Linked DNA regions of Sus scrofa. The protein of the gene in region 4 interacts with the protein of the main gene of each other region in a pairwise test. Links are inferred from orthologs where the notes say so. Each region holds a gene or a part of one and is shown on either strand. Other genes may lie near its edges. The genes, in order: TXLNB, DTNB, SMC3, CEP63 and CAMKK2.

The links.
Region 1: the proteins of CEP63 (region 4) and TXLNB interact in binary tests that used the Homo sapiens proteins (3 or more experiments, as listed by UniProt). The two-hybrid records come from large-scale screens. The link is inferred for Sus scrofa from reciprocal best matches to the Homo sapiens genes CEP63 and TXLNB.
Region 2: the proteins of CEP63 (region 4) and DTNB interact in binary tests that used the Homo sapiens proteins (3 or more experiments, as listed by UniProt). The two-hybrid records come from large-scale screens. The link is inferred for Sus scrofa from reciprocal best matches to the Homo sapiens genes CEP63 and DTNB.
Region 3: the proteins of CEP63 (region 4) and SMC3 interact in a two-hybrid assay, tested with the Homo sapiens proteins (2 studies listed by BioGRID and IntAct). The link is inferred for Sus scrofa from reciprocal best matches to the Homo sapiens genes CEP63 and SMC3.
Region 5: the proteins of CEP63 (region 4) and CAMKK2 interact in a two-hybrid assay, tested with the Homo sapiens proteins (2 studies listed by BioGRID and IntAct). The link is inferred for Sus scrofa from reciprocal best matches to the Homo sapiens genes CEP63 and CAMKK2.

The regions. Positions count from the first base shown.
Region 1 is NC_010443.5:25,280,598-25,283,214, reverse strand, and holds part of TXLNB (beta-taxilin), read right to left. Parts: intron 2,298-2,617; coding exon 2,202-2,297; intron 1,072-2,201; coding exon 322-1,071; 3' UTR 1-321. UniProt on the Homo sapiens protein: Promotes motor nerve regeneration. May be involved in intracellular vesicle traffic.
Region 2 is NC_010445.4:113,473,658-113,477,174, reverse strand, and holds the end of DTNB (dystrobrevin beta), read right to left. Parts: intron 2,537-3,517; coding exon 2,503-2,536; intron 714-2,502; coding exon 282-713; 3' UTR 166-281; downstream 1-165.
Region 3 is NC_010456.5:120,968,462-120,972,436, reverse strand, and holds the start of SMC3 (structural maintenance of chromosomes protein 3), read right to left. Parts: upstream 2,809-3,975; 5' UTR 2,662-2,808; coding exon 2,647-2,661; intron 1,342-2,646; coding exon 1,266-1,341; intron 1-1,265. UniProt on the Homo sapiens protein: Central component of cohesin, a complex required for chromosome cohesion during the cell cycle. The cohesin complex may form a large proteinaceous ring within which sister chromatids can be trapped.
Region 4 is NC_010455.5:75,604,648-75,608,856, reverse strand, and holds the start of CEP63 (centrosomal protein of 63 kDa), read right to left. Parts: upstream 2,817-4,209; 5' UTR 2,745-2,816; coding exon 2,710-2,744; intron 2,677-2,709; exon of another isoform or gene 2,558-2,676; intron 280-2,557; exon of another isoform or gene 271-279; coding exon of another isoform or gene 242-270; intron 1-241. UniProt on the Homo sapiens protein: Required for normal spindle assembly.
Region 5 is NC_010456.5:31,327,928-31,331,444, forward strand, and holds part of CAMKK2 (calcium/calmodulin-dependent protein kinase kinase 2), read left to right. Parts: intron 1-95; exon of another isoform or gene 96-237; intron 238-2,366; 5' UTR 2,367-2,432; coding exon 2,433-2,879; intron 2,880-3,517. UniProt on the Homo sapiens protein: Calcium/calmodulin-dependent protein kinase belonging to a proposed calcium-triggered signaling cascade involved in a number of cellular processes. Isoform 1, isoform 2 and isoform 3 phosphorylate CAMK1 and CAMK4. Isoform 3 phosphorylates CAMK1D.

The DNA.
Region 1 (2,617 bases), on a different chromosome or scaffold from region 4:
GTAGTGGAAATCTTTAAATACCAAATTTTACTGTTGATTAGGAAACTGAATTAAGTATCATCATAATGGCAAATTAATATACAGTTGCTACTCGGATTTTTTGTTGCCATTTGGGAAAATTATACCATCAACCAGTACTAAATAGAAAAACTCCAAATCAGTTACAAATTGAGAACAAATAACAAAGGCTGATTGTACTCTACTTAACATTTAAAATGTCTTGATCTGATTAAGTCTCTTCCATTAGATGTCTCTAGCTCTTAATGCCTTTTTCAGGTGAAAGATGGAAAGTCAAGAAGAGCCTCTGAAGGCAGACGAGGCTTAATCTACTCCTTCCAGATTGGTGTCGGCCACTTCTGGCCCCTGGGGCAGGGCCGTATCCCCTCCTGGCAGCCCCTCAGCGGTTGGCACGTGCTCACCTGCAGCGGGAGGTGGAGCAGGATGGTCGGCCTCCATCACCTGGAGCGAGGCCTCAGCGAGCGGCTCCAGCGCCTGACCGGAAGCTGCTGCCTGCGGCTTCCGGGGCTGCAGATCCACCTGTGCTTCGGTCGGGAGCCGGAAGCTTTGGGCCTCTGCTCCTGACTCAGCTGGGGGACTCCTGGCCCTGAGGGGAGGTTCGGCTTCATGTCCTCCCGCGGTCTCAGCCTGAGGCCTTGGTGGAGGCAGGGGACTCTCTGAAAGGCCTCGAGGGCTCAGGGGGGCTTGTTCCGGCTCCTTGAGGGTCGTGCTGCCGCCCTCTGGAGGACCGCCGACTTCTGCTGGGATTTCTTTAGACCCGTCGACGGTTGACTCTGGACGATGAATGACCATGAAGGCCGCAGCCAGATTCTGCACGGCATTGTGAACCCTATTGGCTTCCTCTGCAGCGGCATCAACCTCTTCACTCACAAAGGTATTTGACTCTAGCTCCTCGTCTGAGGTGTGCTGACTTTGGTCGTCTTTTTCAGGCATTTTCGCTTCTCTGATTTTCTTGTAGAGTTCATTTCTCTCTTCTTGTAAAGCTCGGCAGAGGTTTTCTAGCCTTCCGATTTTCATCACGAAGCATTCGTATTCTTTAGCTCTCAATGTTTTCTGTGATTTAAACACGCACACGCACATTAAATGACACAAAAAACAAAATGGCAAGGATGCCCTCTGCAATTTATCAGGCTCTGACCGCAAGGGGTTGGCTGGACGGGGACTTGGTCAGGGACATCACTCTTGCCCTGTGTTGGAGTCTTTGGGTAGAATTTTAATTCACATATTCTTTAGGAAAGAAAGATAGTTTCAGTCTGAGGCTTCTAAAATCTTAAAATGTATTTTCTGCTTTTAAGACTTAGAAGGCATAAGCAGAAGCTTGTGGCAAAATGATTGAGATGGACTGGGACTTGGCCGTCAGCAGTGCCTTAACTGTTCAAGAGATAAATTGCTATATGCTAATCAAGCAACTGTTTGATTTATGTTTATGAATAATAAGCACATCTCTTTGGAATTGGTTGCAGTTTGGGATGAATTGTTAGAACAGTAATTATAAGTGGAGAAACTCACCATGCACTCATTCGTGATGCTGCTTAAACTGTTCATTTCTCCTTTTCTCTAGAAATGTTGGTGTGTTAGTGCATGAAATTGTTCCTAATCATCTTACTCCTTCACCCCTGCCTTTGTGCTATTATGTACCTTTTAAGACTTTTTCCCCCACTTGTTTACTGGAGAGATCTTCACCTGTAAGCCCTGCCTCTCAGGTCAAGGGCCATGTATCTTTGCCTTCATAGTCTCAAAACCTCCAGAGCCTGAAAGAATATCAGTATTTAAATGACTGTTGGAGGAATTAAGCAATTTATCTCTGTATCTGTCTATAAAATAACATATACTTTGGGTGCTTGGGCTGGTGTTTTTCTCACTGTGTTTGAATCAACTAATTAATTTACTCTGTGCCTGTTATGCATTAGGCACAAGGGAAATTCAAGCACAGCTAAAACATTCATCTAGCAGGTGTGGTGCTGCTTTGGAATCAACAAGTAGGCATATGACTTAGGGTTAAAATGCTCTTAATGAGTCTTTTGTGGTAATTACTTTTATTGCAATATCATATATAGCACATTCCAGAAAAATTCATCTCTTTTTCAAAGGTACTCATTTGTGCTATTAGGCCATAGTTGCTTTCTGAGTATAAATGTATTGACTAGTCAGGGGAAGAAGAGCAAGGGGAAAAGCTTCCTCACCTCTTCAATCATGTCCAACAGAGCTTTGTTACAGTTCTCAAACCGGGCTTTCCACGTGGCTGTTTCTTTTTCCAGCTTCTTCATTTTCTTAGTGGTCTATAGAAATTAGAATGTTTTAATGTTAATCCTGATTAGTTAATATATCAAAGAAACTGTCGGTGCCATATGTGATGTCAGGAAAAGTTCTTTTGTTACCAGCTACTGAAGGAAACAAAAATTCAATACCAAGGAATGAAGAATGAGTGGAGAGAGTCATGATTTATTTCTGAATCATCTGGGTCAGTGGTGAACAAATTTATTTGCATCAGAGCCAATTCAGGAGAAAGGGAACTACTTAGGGCCTTCCTGTTTTGTCATGCTTTTTCTTTTGTTTAAAATAAAAATAGCTTTATTGAGTCCCAAGAATAAACTTGAAA
Region 2 (3,517 bases), on a different chromosome or scaffold from region 4:
GCCCAGGATCCCCTCTCCAGCCGCGGCGGGAGGAGGCCGTAGCAGGGGCTGCAGGGCAGAGCTCTCTCTGCTCCCGCTTCCCGCCTGGGCTGCTGAGCGGCGGCACCGACCGGGGCGGAAGCCTAAGCAGTGAGAGAGAAAGGAAGGAGGCTATTTTTAGCACTGTGGCCAGGGTGTGAACGTTTGTTGAACTGAGCAGGGCCTGAAGCTGTCTTTGCACGACAGAGGGAAGAAAACCTGTTGGCTTTTAAAGGTCAAAGGTCGGGAGAAAACTTGTGCCCTCACCCTGGGGGACAACGCGCATGCTGGCGAGATGCCAGCAAGAACTCCATCAGGTCACACACACAGGAGAGTCGTGCTGTTTCTTTTCTCTTTTCAATCTCCAGTAAATTCCCTGTTGCAGAGATGAGACCATGCCCGGAAGGGAGTGATGAAGATGCTAGTTCATGCAGGGCTGTGCCAGGAGGGGGGCGCGCCCCTCCCACTTCCCAGGGGCTCGGGCTCCCCTCTGCCTGGCGGGTGGTGACGTCTGGCAGCCCGCAGGCCTGGTCCAGGTGTGCCGTGGAAAGATGGACAGGAATTCGCCTCTGGGGGAGGACCTCGCCTTCCTTGTGTTGGTGCCAGCTCGCTCCACGTCCCCCGTGCCTGTGCAGGACAGACGCACTGTGACTCACAGGCACTGCTGAGGGTCTCCGAGCAAAGGCTGCTAACATCTGCCGGGAACAAGACAAACGTGCAACGTTGGTGCTGCTGGAATGCGCACCTTTCAACTTTCAACATGCAAAGGGCTGACAATACTCACACCCCCTTTTAGGGAAAGGGGGCTTCCTTTTTCTGGGGGTACCTCGAGTCTTTGGAGTGCTTGCTTAGGTCACAGGGTCAGGAAGCGTTTCCAGGGAAGAAAGAAGGGTGTTCACAGTGCAAGGTTTTGGAATGCGGGAGGCTCAGGGGAAGAACTGTGACTGAGAAGGGCGAAGAGGTCGGGGATGTGCCGCAAAGCGCTGCGTAGAGGGAGGGAAAGCCTGAGCCTCACGGCCTCAGAGGAGCAGAAGGCAAGGGTCCGTGAAACTGCCCCACCTGAGCGTTTATGCTTTTCATTCTCCGCTGCTGCAGAGTTTCTCATAACTCCTGAGGGGTCCGAGGACAGCACTAGGAGCAGAAGCTCCAGCTCCGATGCCAGTTCTGGCTCCAAGCTCCTGGGTAGTGGGCCTTAGCTTCCTTGTGTGCATGAAGTGGGGGCGGGCCTGATGGCTTCCTTGTCCCCCAGGACCTCTGTGCCCCGGGAAGAGGGGCTCTGGCAGGCTCCCCCAGCGCAAGTCAGCTACGGACTCGCTTGCTGGCAGAGGCAGCCAGGCCTGCTGTCAGGAAGGGCCTTGTCCGCATGCGCAGTGAGCTCAGGCAAAAGCCTGCCCTGGGGCCTCGGGGGCTCCGGGATTCCCAGGGCAGGGAGGGGATTCCTGCAGCTCGGGGCTGCCCATCCTTAGCCTGCACGATCCCGGAGTCAGTGGGGGCTCAGAGACAGCAGGCCCCAGAGAGCGAGCAGGACAGAACCCAGGGCCTGGTGCAGCCGGGGGGCGGGGGTGTCAGGAAAAGGCGGGAGGCTGCTCCAGGGGGAGACGCCTCAGAAGGGCCTGAGAAAGTTCCTTTTCTGGATCATGGGCTGCAGCCCTGGCTTTTCTGCCTGTAAGATCTGTAACCGAGGCCTAACTTTAAACACAGGAGATGGGGGAGGGAGGGAAGACTCTTATGGCCGCATCAAGGCATCTAGCCTGGAAAGAACTCCTCCTGAACGGACGCGCTGTCCCCTTATTCCCATCCATTCCCATCCTTCCGGGGCGCCTGTGCCAAAGCTGCACTGCCTTGGAACTGGGACCCGTTAAGAGTTAAGGTCCTCAGATGGAAAAACGCGAAAGATTAATTCCTAATGGCAATGGGCATTGGCCTGCGGGGAAATCTGTACTGTTATTAAAATTTTTTAGGAGGTGAAGAAACAGTGCAGCTTGGCCAGGCGTCATGGGAAATGGCTTGGTCAGCTTTATGAATCCTGTGTGACAGAAACACGTGGTGGGTTCCAACTCTGGGTGACAGAACCTCAGGGGTGTGCTTGCTGGCTGTGGTTTGGAACCCCAGAGAGAAATGACATGACAGTGGCGGTGGGAAATCAGGAGCAAGGAGGCAGAGCCGTCCTGGGAGGTGAGCTCTGGCGCCTGCTCCCAGGGCCTGTTCCAGCCAGCAGTGTCTGGTCTGCCGCCTGTATGCAGACACAGGGGACACGAGGGCCTGCCTGCGGCCCAGGCCCAGGGCAGTGCAAGACAGATCCGGCCGGGAAACTGGGGCAAGCAGGTACACCAGCAGGGCCGTACAAGAGAAGAGGTGCAGCGGGGCTCCTAGAGGAAACCCCAACTTGCATCTCATGTGCTGGGGTGGCTCTGGCTTAAGAAGCATGACCGAGGAAAGGCGGGTGGGGAAGGGGCTCTGGGGGCCGGCAGAGACACTACTCACCTCGCTTCCTCTCTGTCCCGGCTCCTCCGCTAACCTGTGTGCAACAGACACAAACAACACACCGAGGTCACAGCCGGGGTCTCCTCACCCCCCGCCTCTTCTCCTAGGGGTTCCCTGCCCTGGGGGCTCCTGGCCTGGCCTGGCCTCTCCCCTTTGTTCCTCATTGGTCCACTTTTCCCCGACCAGGTATGAAACAGGGGAGTCAGACTTCCTACAACCAGCAGCTGCAACTGACATAAAACAGCCTTGGAGACAAGTGGCTCTCAGGAAGAGGAAAAAAATAAGACTAACATGGAAAGGAATCCACCTTAAATCTAGGGAGCAGTTCTATTGGGGGCTCCGCCCATCGGGTTCTGCACACGAACAAGGTGAAAATGATTTAAACTTTGATAAGAGCACAATTTCCCTATCTGCTTGGGATACTAAATCATAGTCGGGCTCACCCTGGAATCCTGAACCACTGCCTGGACCCTCCAAAGCCTGCTCTCTTTTCACCAAGGACCGCTGCTGTCAGTCTACCAGACACGCACCAGCCTGAAGCGTGCCAAGCGGATTTACAGCTCCTGACACTGTGGTGGCAGGCTGTGGGGGAGGTGATTTTGAAGGACACAGGCATACAACATGAGGCTCTGGAGTAGCTGAGATGAATTTAGGGCTCTGGAGTAATCTGGGGGGGAAGGCAGGCTAGCCCATGTTTCATCTACGGAGTCTTGGTTATCCGTACCGACCACGCGAGGGAGCAGATGCAAAGCAGGAAGGGTGCCCAGTGGAGCAGAAGCATTGGTCAGGATGCAGCCGGACAGACAGCTGGGGAGGGCAGGGAGCAGCTCGAGGGAGAGGTGAATGTGGCTGCCAGGTCAGCTCGGTCATGAATTCTTCACAAGTGCCCACCTGGGAGTTCCCTGGTGGCTAGGCAGGTTAAGGATTCAGCATTGTCAGTGCTGTGGCTTGGGTCATGGCTGTGGCTTGGTTTGATCCTTGGCTTGGGGACTTCTCATGTGGCAGGCATGGCCAA
Region 3 (3,975 bases), on a different chromosome or scaffold from region 4:
AAGGGACAACTGTATACATTTAAGGAAATAAGTCTAGTAATTACTCATTTTTCTCCAAATCTAAAGATTTTCTGATTGATGATAATTAGAAGGCACTTTTAGTCAAAATGTAAAACTCTAATACAATCATGCCACCCTTATGGGACACCAATTTATGAATGATTCTTCAGTAGGTAAGACAGGGAGAAAAGCATATTTTCTTTATTTCCAAATACAAGGTTGCAACTGACACATCCAGAGCAGGTTTCTTCTCTGCCGTCAATTTTAAACTTTTATTATTTATTTACTTAATTCAAAATAAAGTATGATTCTCAAAGTTTTTCTGAGAACATCAGCATTAACTGTTCACCCTTTATTGATTTCTATACCAATCTCATCTCACCCCATGCTATGGACTGAATTGTGTCGCCCCCTCAAATTCATATGTTGCATCCCTAACTCCCTATGTGAAGCTTTTTGGAGATGGGGGCCTTTGGGAGGTAAATGTGAGGTTAAGAGGATGGGGCCTTTTTGGGGGGATGAGAGGGAGAGGCTCAAAGAAGGTCCTATTAGCGTGAGGGGTAGGGCCTCCAGAAAAGTAAAAAAATTAATCCCTGTGGTTTAAGCCACCTAGTCTCTGATATTTTGTTATGGTAAACTAAGCAGACAAATATACCAACATACTCTTTAAGGAGGACACTGCATAGCATAAGTCTTTGTCAACAGCACATTCTATGCTTTTCTGGGGCCTACAAGCACTCATTTCAAAACATTTTTGCTGTCTGTATCAGCCAAATGGAACATTATCATCCAAAGAATTTATGGATTAGATATTACGTTGCAAGGCAATCATGATTAACTTATCCTCACACAACTGCTTTCTCATTTAATTTTCCCAACAGCCCTACAAAATGTGTATCATTATCTCCACTGTACAAATGAGAAAACTGAAGCACCTCAGGGAGTGAAGTTTGAGGAATACATGGCAGCATTGGGATTTGAATCCCATTCTGTTATGATCCAAAGTTTATGATCTTCCCACACAAATACACAACATGACTACCGAATAAAAATGAGCAATTTATGATTGCCTTATCCAATATTTTAAATGTATAAAGAAAGCAACTTCATCAGTGCAAATCAAAGACAGAAAAGTAATTTCACAGAGAAAAAATACATATAAGTGTACATAATATTCAAAGACAGGTCGTCTGTAGCCTAATAGAGACAGAATTTAAATGTCTGTATAGATTGAAATCTGATCGAGTAAAACCATGAACACTTACCAATAACATTATGTTTTGAACTGAAGGGGTCTACAATTGTTTGATCTCTGTAACTTCGAAATCCCTGGATAATAACCTGATAAATAAAAAAGGGATTTATCAAAACACACCCCAAAAGGAATAACTTCTATTTATTTATTTATTTATTTATTGTCTTTTTGCCATTCCTAGGGCTGCTCCCGTGGCATATGGAGGTTCCCAGGCTAGGTAGGGGTTGAATCGGAGCTGTAGCTGCCGGCCCAAGCCAGAGCCACAGCAACGCAGGATCCGTGCCGCGTCTGCAACCTACACCACAGCTCACAGCTCACGGCGACGCCAGATTCTTAAGCCACTAAGCAAGGCCAGGGATCGAACCGCAACCTCATGGTTCCTAGTCGGATTAGTTAACCACTGAGTCACCACGGGAACTCCAGGAATAATCTCTAAACTAACACCTTTTTGCACACCTTTCCGTCCTGGTTTCTCATTTAATGCAAGATAATAAAGTTTCCATTTCAGAGAAGAAAAACTCATTTTGGAAAAACGGTGATTTAAAAAAAAAATCAGTAACCACTGCCAATGTTGCTTTTTTAGGAGCGATAATTAATAACCTGTTAGGAAATTCTCAAAATCAAGCCCAAGGTCCGTAGGAACACTAAGCATTACAAGGCTGTAGTAAAAGCACATCAAACTTGCAGACCGGCCCCAGCTTTTCTGGGCGTCCCTGCCAGCCACACTCCGGCCCAGCCAGAATGAGCATCCCTTTCGTGGAACCGCTGCTCTGAGGCCAACACATCCGACAAGAGAAACTTCTCGCAGAGCGTGAATGGGTCCATCTTTGCGGTGGACTCCAGCGCGGGAAGACCATTTTGACAGAAGTAAACAACGGAATGAGGAGGCACTACGCACCGTGCAGGAAGGAGGAGCCTTCTCACTCCTTGGCTAAGTCGGGGAGGAGCAAACCCCCAGTTAGGCTGACACCCCCAGAGGCGCCCCCGGACTGGGGAGACCCCACCACCACCACCACCACCACACACTAAACGCCCTCGCGGAGCTGCCCAGGGCAGCAGGACGAAGCCTCTTCCCGTCCCGGGCCTCTCCCGCCCCGGCCCACCCGGGAAGACCTAGTGCCTCCAACAAGACAGCCCCGCCAGCCCCTCCACCCCTCTCCCCGAGCCCGCCCCCCTCAGGCGAGCGCCCTGCAGGGCCGCCGGGGCTGCAGGGAGGAGCCCCACTTCTCCGCGGCCCTGCGCTAGTGGGTCGGCCCTCTCCCCTCCCCCACACTCCCTGTCCAGCCCCGCGTCCACCCTGCGGGGAGATGTGAAAGGCCGCGACATCCTCGCCTCAAAGAGCGGTCCTCACGAGCCCGTGGCAGGGGAAAGGAGGGACACATAGACCTCACCTGCTTTATGTACATGGTTCCGGGCGCTCCTAGCCGGGGAGACGGCCTCCGCCGCAAAAAGCAACAGCGAGGGCGCGGGGTCTGGTGAGGAGCCTAGGAGACCCCTCCCCCCAGAGCGCCGCTCGCTCCCCTCCAGCCAAACAAAATGGCGGCGCCCGCGGAGGCGGAGTCCGCGCCTCGGACGGAACCACCCTCGCGACCCCCACGGAGCGTAGGGGGAATCAGGGTTAGGTCCGTTCTTTCTTTTTGGCAAAAGGAACCTTCTACGATGTCTTCAGGTGTATTTCACTTGATCCCTCAATTTTTAGCTGAACTTTTCTGGAGAAATTGTCGGAAGTTTCATTCAGAAAAGCCTCGATCGTGTGGTTGGCCCGTATTTCCTCCGAGCTCAGAGATAATGGTTGCGGCCAGAAGGGGGGAAAGGTTCGGCGCCAAAGCCGAGAGCTAGAGGCGGAGGGCCAGTAGCGGTGCGGGGCGGAGGTCACGTGGTCTCCGACTGTATAAAAATGGGACGACACCACTCCCGTCCCCCCCCAACCAACGCCGCGCGCGGGTCGTGCCATTCCCCCAAACCTGCTGAATGCAGGATCGGGGGCGGGACGGTGTTCGGCGAGCTGAATTCCGGCTGTTCCATTATTCTCTCTTACTCGGGGACTTTTATAAATTTAGAACGGCTCTCAATGGCTCTAGACTGTCCACTCGCAGGACAGCCCCATGTAAACTTGGCGCTGGAAAATTAGTTGTAATAATGTCATGGTTAATACCTCCGGAGCTGTTACTGCTTTATTTGCTATAAATCTAGGCAGATTGGACAACTGCAGCAACAAGATTTAGATAAGATTAAAAGTTCCCCCCAACCCCGCTTTTTTTTTTTAACAGTCTGAAAGCTAAGAGGCGCCAGTGGCAACCGTTGGTGTAGCTGATGTATATCAATCCTAGGGAAAAAACCATTTGATTAGAAATTGGGCCACTGTGAAGTTACTTGCCAACCAAGTTGGTCCCTCCTCACCACCCCTCCCACTGCCCTTGGGCAGTTCCAGCCCTATTTACTGGATTAGCATCTCTATACTGTTGATTTCTAACTCTGGGATCATAGACACATTGATATTGAAGTTTTAAGTCTTCTTTACTAACCTATAAAATGAGGATAAAACCATTTTCATGTTTAGAATTGCAGAAACAATGCATAAGGCTATTCTATTTACCTAAATTATAGAGGTATATAGATGAAAGCATGGTGACCAAACATTTATGATGTTCTTTACAGTGATGAGAGTTTTACTTATTTAGACATACTAAATGAATCTTATCCAATTGGTTTATATAACT
Region 4 (4,209 bases):
TCAGGGCTTCTTAGTGGTCGGAAATATACAAATAAGCCAATAACACCTTTTACTCAACAATAAGGAAACTCTCAAAGTGGACAAAAGACAACTTATTCAGGCTACTACTGGCCAACAACAGGACAAGTTAAGTACCCAACCCCCCCCCAAAACCCGCACTAGGTTGAAACAGTTTAAATATATTCAAGTCTGTAAGTTCATGATGATTTTTTTAAAAAAAAGGCAAAACGCTCATGGTTACCTTTGGAGATTGCTAGGCCACCAACTCATTACTGTACTCTGGAAATAGAGGGAAAGAATTCAGCATTTTTCTTGTCTTTCCTATACAAACTGTATTGCAAACAGCTGGCGGGGTAGTCAAATAGCTTGCTGAAGTAAAAAGTTCTTCTTCACAAAAAATTTCCAGCTAATTAAATACTGAGGATAGAATCAAAGAATCACCATATTGCAAACTCTAATGCAATAATGGATATAAGCAATCTAAATCCAGGACAGGATCTCACCATTAAGTGAAAGGTTCACAGGGAATTTCATCATGGATAAACTGGACTGACAACACCTGAACCCCCATAGCTGCCCAGTTGTAACACCAAAGAGAAAAAACTTGGACATTACTGTTTTGCACCAACTATGAAATCTTGCCCCACCCTCACCCTTCCCAAAGAGTCAAGGCTGAATCTGATCGAGTTTCTAGATCAGTACTGTTCAAAAGACCTTTATGCAATTATGGAAATCTTTATATATACAATTCAAATAGTAGCCATTAGGCATCTGTGACTATCATGCACTTGAAATGTGGCCAATGCAACTAGGGAACTGAAATTTTTGGGGTTTTTTCCTATTTTAATTCATTTAGACAGCCATAGCTGGCTGGTGCCTGCTATATTAGACAGGGCAATTCTAGACCTTACTACCAGTTTAAAGGTGATAAAGGGAATAGATATATAAGTTAAAGGATACTATGTGGATGCAATCAACTAAATCTAGAATGTTAAGGGAAATAAGGGAGGCAACAAAACTGCCATATAAAAAACTTCTAAAAGGTGTATCAACCCAATGCAACAAATGGGTCTCTAAAGGACTTTGATCCAAACAAGCTAACTGTAAAAACACGTATTTGGGACAATTGGGGAAATCCAAACTCAGACTAAATATTGACATTTCGGGTATTTTACTAATTGTCATAGATGTGATGACAGTAATACAATTTTGTAAAACTGAAAACACTAATTATTGAAGGAAGAAAGCCTAAAATACCATAAAGACCAAAAATTCAATTCCTGAAACATATGTCAACGCTGGCTTTAGGTGAATTTCAAATCAAGTTAATATACATTTAAAAGTAGGAAGTTCTGATAAAGTGGACTACTACTGATGCTGTCACCACCTACCACCACTAGTACACAAGTAAGAACAGGTAGGATCAAGCAAGAGTGTTCTACCTTTAATGGGAGAAGAGTGGCTTCAGTACTATTAATATACACAATTACTAGAAATAATTTTAAAAACTGAATCAACATACATTTTAAAGTGCAGTTCATTTTAAAGTGAAAGTTTATAAATGTCTAACCCGTTTTAATTTGTCTTTCTTACTAATCACTGATAATGATATAATCAAAAGGCAGAATAAAAATCCATCTAAAAATGATATGGGGAGTTCCCCTCGTGGCACAGTGGTTAACGAATCCGACTAGGAACCATGAGGTTGCGGGTTCGGTCCCTGCCCTTGCTCAGTGGGTTAACGATCCGGCTTTGCCATGAGCTGTGGTGTAGGTTGCAGACGCGGCTCGGATCCCGCGTTGCTGTGGCTCTGGCGTAGGCAGGTGGCTACAGCTCCGATTCAACCCCTAGCCTGGGAACCTCCATATGCCGCAGGAGCGGCCCAAGAAATAGCAAAAAGACAAAAAAAAAAAAAAAAGGATACGGTATTCAAAATAAAACACATACACTTTATTATATAATTAAGCTACAGTTGTGATCAGTATAAATATAAATATTCGAAGGTAGCATGTAGTTAATAATCCTTGATTTCCTCTTCATGTCTAGAAAATTAAATGCACGCATGTGGGAAACTATTACCACAGGGCACTAACCCTACAATACTGCTTTATTAAAAGAAGAAAAAATTCTTAAAGACTGGTTTAAGGAACTGTCTGTAAGGCTCAAGGAAAACTACTTTGTGCAAAGAAATGTACTGTAATTGCAAAGGAAGAGTAGTCGCTGACAGCGGACTCATCTTTACTGTTTCAAGAAGCATAAGAAAAACCTCATTATAAGCCTAGATTTACCGCCTTAAAGTATCTTGATGATTAAAGTGTTCTAAGGACCTATACCTTTTATTTCCTCAATTTATCATTTATTTCCCATCCCTGATTTGTATGGATCCCTAAGTCCAGGGTTCCCCAATTGAGTCCTTCATGTTTTCTGCCACATTTCTGTACCTCCAATACGTTTTTAACCAACTCACTTTTTAAAACTTGCTAAACTTCCCACCCGTGAATGAACCGCTATCACCTGCCATCAATGACCTAAGTCGCAACAATGCTAAGAAGCTAACCAGATGAGGCAGCCCAGGCGAGAGGGCCTTGCCGAGGATCCCTCCCCTGAAGTGGAAGAGTGGCCCGCGGCTAACTCCGCTCCGGGAAGACGAGCAGCTCGCCCACCCCGCCGCCCTCCCGCCGGCCCGGTCTCTAGGTAAGAGCTGACCACCTGGCTGGCCGGGACCGCACGCCGAGGGAGGCCATATCCGGCTTCGCGGGTCAGCCGGGCGTCAGCGAAAAGGCCGGGGGGCGGGGCGCCGGGGCGGAGCCGGGCCGGCGGGGGCGGGCCTGGAGGCCAGCGGGCGGCTGAGGAAGCAGGCCCCAGGCCATTCGGCCGCTCGGCCCGCGGCCCCACCGCAGCCAGGGCTACCTCCAGGCCCAGAGACGGCCGCCCCTCGCCCGTCCGACGTTCGCAATGCGGTTAAGGGCTGCCGCGAGCGCTCCCCGAGCCTTCCCGCCGTTACCTACGGCTGGGGGTGCGCACGCGCGGCACCGCCAACCTGACGTCCAGCCACAGCAGTCAGCACGTTCGTTTTGCCCACTGCTCCTTCACTTTTAATTAAAACAATGTCCTCCCTAACTCCCCCTGTGCTCCGGCAAATGGGCTCACCCACATCCGGGGATCGGAAAGTGAAGGACGTCTGGGTCACGTGATGCTGAGGGCGCGGTCGGCGGGGGTGTGTGACACGCTGGGTTTGGGGCTGGTAAAAGGGTTTGCGCGCACGTAATGTAGGGTCTGGAGATACGGGAGCGCGTTCGGACTCCTGCCGTTTCTCTTGGCTTAGGTCGTTGTTTTCACATCATCCTCTCCCTCCTAACCACTTCTCTTACCACACGTTGGGCGGGGAGGAGGGGAACTTGCTTGGCTGTCCGGACCCCCCCCCCTCGCTTCCGCATTTGGTATATCCCGCCTCGGGCCGGAAGCCGTGGCTGTGGGGCGGCCTCCCAGGCCTGTATGGACGGTGGTGGCCCGAGAGGGTCATTTCTAGCGAGGGAAAAGGCGTCCCAGTTTTGCTCATGTAACTGCATGTTTCACAGAGCTCTAAAGCAGAGATGAATAAAACTGCCCTCCCCCCGGGAAACGCAGGCGTCTCGTGTCTGGAAAGACCGTGTGACAGGCAATATACCAAGATCCTGATGGGGATCATTCTCTGTGCCCAGAGAACTATGGGACCCGCGGAGGGGCGGGGACTGCGCTCTTCTGGCTCTTAGAGAACGACTCCTGCAGAAGACGACCTGGGAGCTAAATTTTTTGGACAGTTTGGGGTTAGCTGGGGAAAAAAGGAAGAAGACAGAGCATTCCAGGCATTGGGACAGTCGTATGTGTAAGAAAACTTTGTTCAGGAAAGTGGTAATGCTTCATTCTGTTGAGTGAGGCAAGTGTTTGAGACGTAGTCATTTCCTGGTCATTGCCCCTCTTTGCCCGTCTTGTGCTTTCCTTTTTTCCAGCCCCTGAAGAGAGAAGGCACCTTAGCGCCTAACTCTGGAAATGGCATGTTGGTTCTGATGAGCTGACGCCAGCTTTGAGTTTGGAAGGAAAAATGGGTGTGTTAGTGATGGGGTAAAGAACTTTGAGTGCAAAGGCTGGAAAGGATAACAGAGTTAGAGGTGTTCGGAAGAGGGACAGGTGAAAAAAGATTGAGGCCAAATTGAGGAAAGATGTGCTGAG
Region 5 (3,517 bases), on a different chromosome or scaffold from region 4:
CGGTTCCCAACTGTACTTTCCTCTCTCTCCCCCCACTGCCAGCCAATGTTATAAAGAGATATAATTTTATTCATTCATAAAATCTCTCTGCTCAGCACTCACTGCTTTCCTGGCATTTCCCTGACGTGGGTGATCAGCACGGAACCGCCACCTTCTGCATCTGTGGATGTACTCCATGAATTCCAGTGGTACCTGTGACATTTGTCCAGCAGAATTTGTCAAACACACGAAGCAAAGGTTAATATTCTGTTCCAGAGACAGAAGGAATTGACAGTCTGAGTGTGTCAATTTTTTGTAATTTACACAAAATTAACCATTTAAACGTGTGCAACTCAATGTCATTTAGTACATTCACAGTGTTGTGCAACCACCACCTTTATCTAGTTCCAGGGTCTTTTCAGCACCCCGAGAGGAGACCCCCCGTGCCCCCTGGCAGTTACTTCCCATTTCCCCTAACACCTCCCCAGTCCTTGGCAACCACTGTACTTTCTGTCTGTGTGGATTTGCCCATTCAAAAATCTCACGTAGCTAGGATCATACACACGTGACCTTTTGTGTCTGGCTTCTTCCACTCAGCAGCATGTTCTTGAAGCTCATGCAGGTTGTAGCCTGTGTCGATTCTTTATTCCTTTTAAGTCATGCTCCATTGTGTGGACAGACCACATTTTCCCATCCATTCATCTATTGTTGGACATGTAGGTTGTTTTTTTCTCTTTTCGGTGTTGTGAGTAGTGCTGTTTGGGTAGATACCAAGGAACACAGTTGCTCAGTCATATGGTAATTCTCTTAGTTATTTGAGGAACCACCAAACTATTTGATGCCAACCTTTTTTTTGGGGGGTGGGGGTGGCATTCATGGCACACGGAAGTTCCAGGGCCAGATATCGAAGCGACACTGCACCGTAGCTGTGGCAACATCAGATCCTTAACCTGCTGTGCCACAAGGGAACTTCCGAAGCTAACCTTTTTTATCTCGTATTTGCTTTTTGTCTAGCAGTAGCTAGCTGGGGCTGAGCTAGGGCAACAGTAGATAACAGATATGTTGAGCCTTCCTCCTCAGACAGCACACACTCCCCTGGCTCACACACTCTCTGGGCGCCTCTTCCTCCTCTGGTGTGACCTCCTGACCCTCACACCTCAGGAATCATTGGCTCCGGGCCAGGCCAGGGGACTGGACTCCTGTGCGCATGGTGTGTGCCTTAGGACAAATCCTTCTCCCTCTCTTGAGTCTCAGTTTCCCCATTTATAAAATGAAGGTATAAGGGCAAACCAACAACCTAGGGCACTTGTGAAATGATCCTGATGTGTGGAAGATATTTTATAAACTGGAAGGTGCTGTCTACATCATTGCTCTTATGAAGAGAGGCAGCCCAGAGGTCATCATGAGGAAGTGTTTCTTTGGCCTGTTTTTTTTTTTTGTTTTTGTTTTTGTTTTTTGTCTTTTTGCCATTTCTTGGGCCACTCCCATGGCATGTGGAGATTCCCAGACTAGGGGTCGAATCTGAGCTGTAGCCAGAGCCACAGCAACGTAGGATCCGAGCGGAATCTGCAACCTACACCACAGCTCACAGCAACGCTGGATCCTTAACCCACTGAGCAAGGCCAGGGACTGAACCCGAAACCTCATGGTTCCTAGTCAGATTCGTTAACCACGGAGCCACGACGGGAACTCCAGGTATTTTAAAATATTTAAAATAATTGCGAATTTTCCAAAAGTTAAGAGATCTCACCCAACATCATCGGTTTAGGACTTCTCTTTAAATAAATAAATAAAAAACATGGGGGAGGTAATCAGACAATTCTAGGCCCAAATTCCTGCTTAGCAACAGTTGGCTTGAGCTGGAAGCCACATTTGTTGGGTGCATGGGTGCTCTAGTTTTTGGGTCTTCTCATACTTGGTTTCTACAGGAATTGAATTTGGATTCTTGTAGTGTATGAGGAGGGGCTTTTTTTTTTTTTTTTTTTTAATTTTTACTTCGTCACCCACAGCATATGTAAGTTCCTGGGCTAGGGGTCCAATCAGAGCTGCAGCTGCCAGCCTACACCACACCACAGCAATGCCAGATCCCAGCTGCCTCTGTGACCTTTTTGCAGCAACTCGGATCCTTAACCCACTGAGCGAGGTCAGGGGTGGAACCTGCGTCCTTGTGGATACTAGTCAGGTTCTTAACCTGCTGAGCCACTTTGGGAACTCCTGTGAAGAAATGTGGAGTAAGCTCATCTCTACAGACTCAGATCAGATTTTATCGTGTTGTAAGGACTCCACTCAAAGCAGGAATGAGGCATCAGGCTTGGCCAGCAGGAGAAACCCCCTACCTTGGCCCTGCCCCACTGGGTGGGGGCAGCTGACCCTTCCTCTCTCTGCAGGTGGCGTGAGCTGCTGGATGGGTGTACCCCCGAGAGTCTGTGTCGCATCAAGTGGGCACATGCACCATGTCATCATGTGTCTCTAGCCAGCCCAGTAGCAACCGGGCCGCCCCCCACGATGAGCTGGGGGGCGGAGGCGGCAGCAGCAGCGAAGGCCGGAAGCCCTGTGAGGCCCTGCGTGGCCTCTCGTCCCTGAGCATCCGCCTGGGCATGGAGTCCTTCATCGTGGTCACAGAGTGTGAGCCGGCCTGTCCTGTGGATCTCAGCCTGACCAGGGACCGGCCCCTGGAGGCAGATGGCGGCGAGGTCCCGCTTGACGCCTCTGTGGCCCAGGCCCGGCCCCTCCTCTCCAGCCGCAAGCTCTCTCTGCAGGAGCGGACCCAGCTGGACGCAAATGGGCGTGGTGTCTGCCCGGCTCTGCCCCACTCGCCCGTGGGCTCCCCGCAGTCCTCACCGCGGCTGCCCCGGCGGCCCACCGTGGAGTCGCACCATGTCTCCATCACCGGGATGCAGGTGCGTGAGCGGCGGCCCCCGGTGCCGTGTCCCTGCGCCTGCCAGAAATGCCTTGGTGTTAGGCTAGGGTCCCTGAGAATTCTAGTGCAAACAGTTGCTTTGGGAGGTGACCCCAGAAAACCCAGAAAGAAGTCAGTAAAGGTGCATGATGGAGCCGGTGGGCAGCTGTGGTGCCACCTCTGGGGAGCCCTGCAGGAGACAGTGTAGGAGGCCAGCCCCAATGTTATTCTACCTGCCGGCAAGGAAGCTCCGCCTTTGACACCAGCTGCTGGCAGTCCCTGGTGAGGGCTTCTGGCTGTGGGTGAGCTGCCTTGAGTGTGGACAGAGCATCTCCCCGTGGAGAGAGCCTCTGGCAAAGGGATGTAGATGCTGGCGCTTGGAAGTTGTGCTAGGGGCTTTGAATTGGGGATGGCAGGTCAGTCACTGCTGAAAACCTGAAAACCGCAGGGCCCCAGTTGCTGAGTGTTTGCCTTCTCAGGCTCCTTATGTGCATCTCTCTCTTGATCCTTACCATGAACTCCTGGAAGATAGGTTGGAACTCAGACCCCCAGCAGGGTTCTCAGGGCCTGGTCCACCCCTTCCCCACCTCCTACCTTTGTGCTGCACAGAGCTCCCACCAGACCCACTTCTTTGTATTC